2 linked regions of the Oryctolagus cuniculus genome follow. The main gene of each other region encodes a partner of the protein of the gene in region 2 in a complex. Links are inferred from orthologs where the notes say so. Each region holds a gene or a part of one and is shown on either strand. Other genes may lie near its edges. The genes, in order: PRKAG1 and PRKAA2.

The links.
Region 1: the proteins of PRKAA2 (region 2) and PRKAG1 are in contact, whole or in part, in a crystal structure (PDB 6B1U), measured with the Homo sapiens proteins. The link is inferred for Oryctolagus cuniculus from reciprocal best matches to the Homo sapiens genes PRKAA2 and PRKAG1. Residues at the interface, in NP_006243.2 of Homo sapiens: Asp329, Asn330, Ile333, Met334, Ala337, Phe340, Tyr341, Leu342, His366, Pro367, Glu368, Arg369, Met370, Pro371, Pro372, Leu373, Ile374, Asn444, Val446, Thr447, Pro530, Arg531, Leu532, Gly533, Ser534, His535, Thr536, Met537, Asp538, Glu541; in NP_002724.1 of Homo sapiens: His36, Asp40, Leu41, Ile42, Pro43, Thr44, Ser45, Val50, Phe62, Leu64, Val65, Thr66, Gly68, Val69, Arg70, Trp75, Ser77, Lys78, Lys79, Gln80, Phe82, Pro158, Glu159, Ser160, Gly161, Asn162, Lys170, Arg171, Lys174, Phe175.

The regions. Positions count from the first base shown.
Region 1 is NC_091442.1:52,469,717-52,472,361, forward strand, and holds part of PRKAG1 (5'-AMP-activated protein kinase subunit gamma-1), read right to left. Parts: intron 1,528-2,645; coding exon 1,418-1,527; intron 1,220-1,417; coding exon 1,138-1,219; intron 1,054-1,137; coding exon 995-1,053; intron 857-994; coding exon 811-856; intron 722-810; coding exon 667-721; intron 124-666; coding exon 1-123. UniProt on the Homo sapiens protein: AMP/ATP-binding subunit of AMP-activated protein kinase (AMPK), an energy sensor protein kinase that plays a key role in regulating cellular energy metabolism.
Region 2 is NC_091438.1:116,548,172-116,552,783, reverse strand, and holds the start of PRKAA2 (5'-AMP-activated protein kinase catalytic subunit alpha-2), read left to right. Parts: upstream 1-1,705; 5' UTR 1,706-2,356; coding exon 2,357-2,450; intron 2,451-4,612. UniProt on the Homo sapiens protein: Catalytic subunit of AMP-activated protein kinase (AMPK), an energy sensor protein kinase that plays a key role in regulating cellular energy metabolism.

The sequences.
Region 1 (2,645 bases), on a different chromosome or scaffold from region 2:
AACTTGAGGAACTTGAGGATGCGCTTGTGGGTGAGGATATACAAAGTGTTGCCTGATTCCGGGTCGATCACTGGCAGCCTGTGGATCTTGTTCCGAATTAACGAAGAGACAGCATCAAACAAACTGCGGGAAGGTTGGGGGGGGGGAATCATGATGCGAGCCAGAGCGCTAGGGCAGAGGGCGGTTAACCAACTCCTTAGAGTGTGGATATAAACAGGGAAAGTGGGGGTTAGGAGAGGGACAGCATTCAGACCAGAGAGAGAGAGAGATGGGAGGAATCTCCTTTTCCTCTTCTACTCTTTCCCCTGGTCTTTGAGTATTTAGGGCTTTGGCTAGGCTGACGGCAAGATATGTCTTTTCTTTTCTTTTTTTTAATTTTTATTTATTTATTTTCATTATATTTAAAGGGCAGAGAGACACAGATCTCCCATTCACTGGTTCACTCCCCTAATGCCAGACCAGGCAGAAGCCAGGAGTCAGCACTCAATCTGGATCTCCCAAGTGCTGCAGCCTGCACCCGCTGCCTCCCAGAGGGCACGTTAGTGGGAAGCTGGAATCAGGGCCGTGGCTGGGACTCAAACCCATGCACGCTGGTATGGGATGTGGGCATTCCCAAGCAGCACCATAACTGCTGTGCCACACACTGGACAGATAGCCAGCGCTCACCTGGCATTAGGAGAAATGCAGACAAGCGGCTTAAAGGAGTCTTGCAGGTACACCTCTGAAAGGGAAAAAGGACGGGTCCTGCAGTATCCCCATGGAGAAACCTCCGCCCCTTTCGGCCTTTTACAAACCAAAGTCTCCACGTACCTCTCCAAGTTTCTATCTTGTGTTCTTCTAGTTCATAGATTTGTACCTGGAAACAGAAGCAACAGAATTGGAAACCTAATCTCCCGGATTCCTTAACCTCCATGGCGTGCTTAAAGCAAAAGAAAGAGCAATGAGGGTCTTTGGACAGGGACATGGTTTTGGTCACTGGGCTAAGGCTCCTTACCAAGGCAGATTTATAGTAGCGGTGCAGGATGTTGATGAAGTCCGTGATGGTCAGCATACCTGGAGGCCAAGACGAAGCCCTCAGCACTGCCCAAAGCTTTGCCCTCTGCCCAGCAACCCTCTGTCCCAGGCACTTTTGCTTACCCACAAAACTTTGCTTCTTACTATCCCACAAAGGGGCAGCTCGCACACCATTAGTCACCAGTGCAAAGAAAGCTTTCTTCACCTGTGGCCGAGACAGTAACGGTTTAAGAGGAATTCACAGGGTGCAGGACTGCAGCAAAGAGGGGTTGGTTTATTTTGGAAAAACCTGAGACTGACCCCATAGAAGGGCAAGGCTATCACCGTTGGTAGGATACAGGCTGAGCGGTATGGGACCAGAGGCTCCGAGGAAGGGGGATGGGACAAAGACTGCTTCACTCACCTGCAGAGAGGTGTCAAATACAACGAGTTTGGAGCTTGTGGGTATCAGGTCATAGCAGCGATGAGACTTCATGAAGGAAGTATACACGCTATTGTTGGAGTCTGGGGTGTCTGCATAGGGTGTGGCAATTAGTGGCTTCCTTCCACGGAACAAAAGTTTCTAGTTTCTCAACACTTAAATAATAGCTTTTATAAGACTTCCTACTCTGTTAAGTTCCTACGGTTACCACAAAGCCTAGATAAACCCCTTAGAGGACATTTCATCCAACCCCTACCCCCAGTAAGACTAAATCTATTAGTTGCCTCCTTAGGTTGAAAAAAAAAAAAAAAACAGGACTGACTAAAACATGAAGTCTGCAACAGCTCTCATTAGCCTGTTCCAGTCTAAATGTTTTTTTCTTATTTTTAATCCAAGTTCTCCTTCCATATATTTAGCACATTTTCACTTGATGTCTTTTCTCAGTGAATACAAAAAAAAAAAAAAAATCAAATAAGCTTCTTAAAATTCTCCCAAGACCAGTCAATGAGAAAGTCATGGTCCAAACTGGGCTGTTTCCCATCCATGCTGGGTTGGAGCCCTGTGCTCATAACAGCATGGCCCCAGGCGCCATGGGAATCCAATTGAGGCTCACCTCGTGAATCAAAATCCTTCTACCCACTCCAGACAAATGGGAGATCCTTTTCTTTCCTGTGATTGGAACTGCCTACACAAAACTGGAGAATCAAATCTCCAAAATAACAGCCTGGGTATGTTCAGTCCTATGCTATATGTACTTAAAGATGGTATGTCACCGAGCTCGCCGAGGTCGGCCCTGTCCCCCCGGGGTTCAGATGAAAGCAGGTGTACAGCAGCTAAACAAACCATGCGAGGTCATTCCCACTGGGAAGCAGCGAAAAAGACTCAAACCGAGAGCTACCTGATTCCAAAGGTTGTAAGTTCATGCTCTAAAATCCAAGGCCAGTTTGATTTTCAACAGTTGTGGTTTTTTTTTTTTTTTTTTTTTTTTTAAACCAAAGCTATATGGGCACAAAGTTTAAAGAACCAAATAGTTTTACAAGTTTGATTAAGAAAAAATAGCTGGCCGGCGCCGCGGCTCACTAGGCTAATCCTTCGCCTTGTGGTGCTGGCACACCGGGTTCCAGTCCCGGTCGGGGCGCCGGATTCTGTCCCGGTTTCTCCTCTTCCAGGCCAGCTCTCTGCTGTGGCCCGGGAAGTGCAGTGGAGGATG
Region 2 (4,612 bases):
AGAAACTAACTTCAGTAAAGAGTTTTCAACATGTTTGAAATGGATGTTAGAATGAAAGACAGAAACAGCTCAAAAGCTGAACAGGAATTTTGTTCTCTTGCTCACCTGAATGAACACTGAAGGACGGAAGGAGTGACCCTGAACCAAATGAAAGTTCAGCATTAAAAATGACTGGTTGTGCTCTCAAAATTGCCAGCTAGGTAGTGTGATTCTTAAATGATACTTCTTGTCAGCAAGAAAGATGATCCGAAGAATGAACGAAAATAGCCTCTGTGTAACAGGTGCGATATCTGTAATTTATAAGTGGTGTTCATCTCTCATCAGATTGTCTTGGTGTCTAGCCAAGAATGAATAGATGCCATTTGTATATTTACTACTTTTCAGAAAGCAAAAAAAAAAAAAAATTTCACAACCTAGTCTTTCTGATCAATATATTCTTTACATGTAAGCAGTATAACAGACTTCAAGCTTGAGGAATGTGACCTTGAAACTCCACTAGCAAGCACAGTGCTAAAAGCATCTCACTAATTTTTAACAATTCATCTTCAAATAGCAAATAATCTTAAAATTAATCTTTAAAAATTTTACATCATTGAAAAATGAAAATTTTACACACATCAGATGCAACATGTTGTTTTGAAATGTATATAATAGTGGAATGGCTACATCAAGCCAGTAACACATGCATTAGTCATAATAGCTGTTTTTGTGGTGAGAAACAAATAATTATAGTAATAATTTTGAAAGATAGGACAACATTGAAGAATAGGATACTATTAAACAAAGGAAGGAAAGAGGGGAAGGAATGAAGAGATGGAAGAGATCAGCACTTCACCTAGTTCTTTCTCTCTCTCTTTTTTTCTTTCTTTTTAATATTCCCTCCCCAGGCAGGGGTGGTGGTGGTGGTGGGGGAGGAATCATGATTCTCATTTCCTCTTACCATTTTTTTCTACTTATCATACTTTAAATTGTGTCTTTATACTGTCCTTGCTTTTCACAATTCCTTTGTCCTTCATGTACAAGGGTACTTTAAATGTTCGTGGAACAATGAAATTAAAAGGCAAGCTTATTTTGGTGCCAAAGACTTTGAAATCCATGCACAGTTTTTCATCATACACATTTTCATGAACTTGATGAAGACCGCTCATTCACGTGTTTTTCAAAGTAAACATTTCAATTAAATTTATCTTCCATGGGGTTAAAAATTAATTTGAAAGAGAGAGGGAGAGGGAAAAGGAGAGGGAGAGGGAGAGAGAGAGAGAGGGAGAGGGAGGGAGGGAGGGAGAGAGAGAGAGAGAGAGATCTCATCTGCTGATTCACTCTCCAAATTTCCACAAAGGCCAGAGCTGGGCCAGGGCCAGGAGGGGAGCTGGGAATTCAGTCCAGGTCTCCCACGTGAGTGGCAGGGTCCCAAGGGTCTGAGTTATCCTGCGGCCTCCCTGGGTCTGCATCAGCAAGAAGCTGGAGTCAGGAGCGGTGGCCGGCTATGGGGCGCCGTGTCCCTCCAAGAACTTTTTGGAACACCTTTGTAATTTACTTCCTGTGCACTCACCATTCCTTCCTGGGCAGCTCTGTCACATATCATTTCCCTACTGTGTATGTATATAGGCAGGCGATCAAACACCCGAGCTAACACGGCGACGGGGATTTACTGGAAGCTGCACATCGGTTACAGCTGAGATCTCTCTTCCATCTAAGGACAAAGCAAGTGAGAATGATGAAGTAGGCAGAGGAGGACAAGTGAGGAGAGCACCGCTGTGAGTGCTCCAATAGCTGGATCAGAAACAGCCGAGACCCCGGCAACTTCCCCGGGGCGCTCCCCCGACTGCCCTTTGCACCGGCCCCTGGCCTCCGCCTCCCAGCCCACATCGCGGTTTGGGGCTTTGGGCCTGTTTCTCTTCAAATTCGACTTCCACCTCTTTCCATTCCCTCAGATCGGATCCAGGTCTCACCCCCACAGTCCCATTCTCTCGGCTCTCCCTCAGAGAGCGCCCCCAGCCACCCTCGCCCTCGGGTCGCCGCCGCCGCCCGCCCTCTCAGCACCTGCCGCCCGCCGACCCTCGCTGCCATCCGCGCACCTGGCTGGGCCCCGCCCTCTCTCCCAGCCTGCGCCCCGCGCCCTCAGCGCGGCCGCCGCCGCCTCCGGCTCCGCCACAGGCGTCGGTCACGCCGGGCCGCGGCTCCCCGCTCCGGACTCGGTCGCGCCCTCTCCCGGGACCCCGGCCGCCGGCGCCCGCGCCCCTCGTCGCCTGCGGCCCGCCCCCCGCGGGTCCCGCTGCACTGTGGGTAGGCGGCGGCGGCGGCGGCGGCGTCCGCGCTGAGGGGCCGCGGCGGAGCGAGGCCGCGCGAGCCGAAGATGGCTGAGAAGCAGAAGCATGACGGGCGGGTGAAGATCGGTCACTACGTTCTGGGGGACACGCTGGGCGTCGGCACCTTCGGCAAAGTGAAGAGTTGAGTACGCGCCGAGGCCGCAGCCGCTCGGGGCTGCGGGGCTGGCGGGTGGCTGGGCCGGGCCGAGCAGCGAACCGGCGCAGGGCCCCGCGGCAGGTGGCGCGGCTCCGGGCAGCTGAGAACGTGGACCCCGCGCGGGCGGCGGGCAGCGCCTCGCCCAGCAGCGGCGCCCCGGCCTGGCAGGCGGGGCTGGGGGCGAGCGCTAGAGAGTGGGCTGGGGGACAGGGGTCCTGGGCTCCAGGTCCAACGCCTGTCATCTGGGCGGTGGTCGGGGCCAGGTGCTTCCCTGCTGGCGTCCCCTTCTGCACAGCTGGGAGGTTGTAGCATACCCGTCAGGTGCCCTCCAGCTCGGACACCGTGTGGGGAGAGCTGGGCAGTACTGCAGGCTACCCGTAGATGATGATTGAGTTGCCGTTTGGTGCCCGGCGCCCTATCAGGGGCGTTACGTGTGATTTCTTTAAATCCGTACTTGGTCCAGCTGTGACCCTCACCTTGCAGGGGAAGCAAACTGGAACCCCTAAGGGTTGAGTAGCATGCCCAAGGTCACACTGAAATTGGCAGCGCGGGATGAAGTCTAAGATGTCCTCCGGTTCTAGCCTTGCTCAGAGGTCCCTGCTACCCCCAGATTCTGTGATGTTGTAGCACTCTGGGTTGGCAGGGCCTCCTGTTAAGCGGACGCCCAGTGGGCCGGCGAGGGTGGGCCTGGGAAACGCTGGAATGCCGCTGGGTGGGCTCCGATAATTAGACCTAGGAGGGCTCGAGGTTGATTGGTTTGAGTGCAGGGGCTCCAGGAAGCCTCTGGGATGATGGAGAGAGATAAAGGTATTGGTGTTGGAGAAGGGCTGAGGTCGGAACTGCTAAGAAATTTTTGCTGAGGTCTGTTTTCTTGGAGATGCAATTACACTTAGGGTGTAGAAAAATAGCCTGCTTTTGAAAGTTTATACTTCTTATTAGTTAAGTAATTAGTAAGAAGAACTAGTTAGGCATTGAACTTTGCTGGGGGTGGGGGGATGGACACACACACACACACACACACACACACACCTTCTTCCATCCACTGGTTCATTTCCCAAATTCAGGAGCTAGAATCTTCATCCAGGTTTCCCACCTGGGTGGAAGGGACCCAAGTACTTGAGCCATAACCTGCTGCCTTCCCAGCTCATTAGCAGGAGGCTGAGTCAGAAGTGGAGGAACTGGGACTCCAATCCCAGGCACTCCAGTATGGGATTTACAGGTCCCAAGTGGTGGATTAAGCAGCTGAGCCCTCTTCCTTTTCCATTTTGTTCATAAGAGTTATATGAGATTTAGTAATCATGTCCTCTCTCCATAATTGGAGCCAGTTTATTTATTTATGTATTTATTTATTTTTAACTTTTATTTAATTAATATAAATTTCCAAAGTACAGCTTATGGATTACAGTGGCTTCCCCCCCTCCATAACTTCCCTCCCACCCACAACCCTCCCCTTTCCCACTCCCTCTCCCCTTCCATTCACATCAAGATTCATTTTCAATTCTCTTTATATACAGATCAGTTTAGCATATATTAAGTAAAGATTTCAACAGTTTGCACCCACATAGAAACACAAAGTGAAAAATACTGTTTAAGTACTAGCTATAGCATTAAATCACAATGTGCAGCACATTAAGGACAGAGATCCTACATGAGGAGTAAGTGCACAGTGACTCCTGTTGTTGACTTAACAAATTGACACTCTTGTTTATGGCCTCAGTAATCACCCTAGGCTCTTGTCATGAGTTGCCAAGGCTATGGAAGCCTTTTGAGTTCACCAACTCTGATCATATTTAGACAAGGTCGTAGTCAGAGTGGAAGTTCTCTCCTCCCTTCAGAGAAAGGTACCAATTGGAGCCAGTTTATTAAAAGTACTTTGTTGCAAATCCAGAAGTGTAAGGACAATGTTGTTTTTTGTTTTGTTTTCTTTTTGCTGAAGACATCTGGGTAGGCTGGAAATTCTACTCTGCTGTCTCTGTTTCATTGTAGACTTCATGTTTTAACCTCAAGTAAATGTAGAAGAGACTCATTGTTCGTTCTTGTGGCAAGATCAGTGGGAATTTTCTTCCACATATCTGATACCCATTCATTTGTTGAGAAAACACTGAGAACCTGCAGTGTGGTAGGCACTGTGGTAGGCCATGGTGAC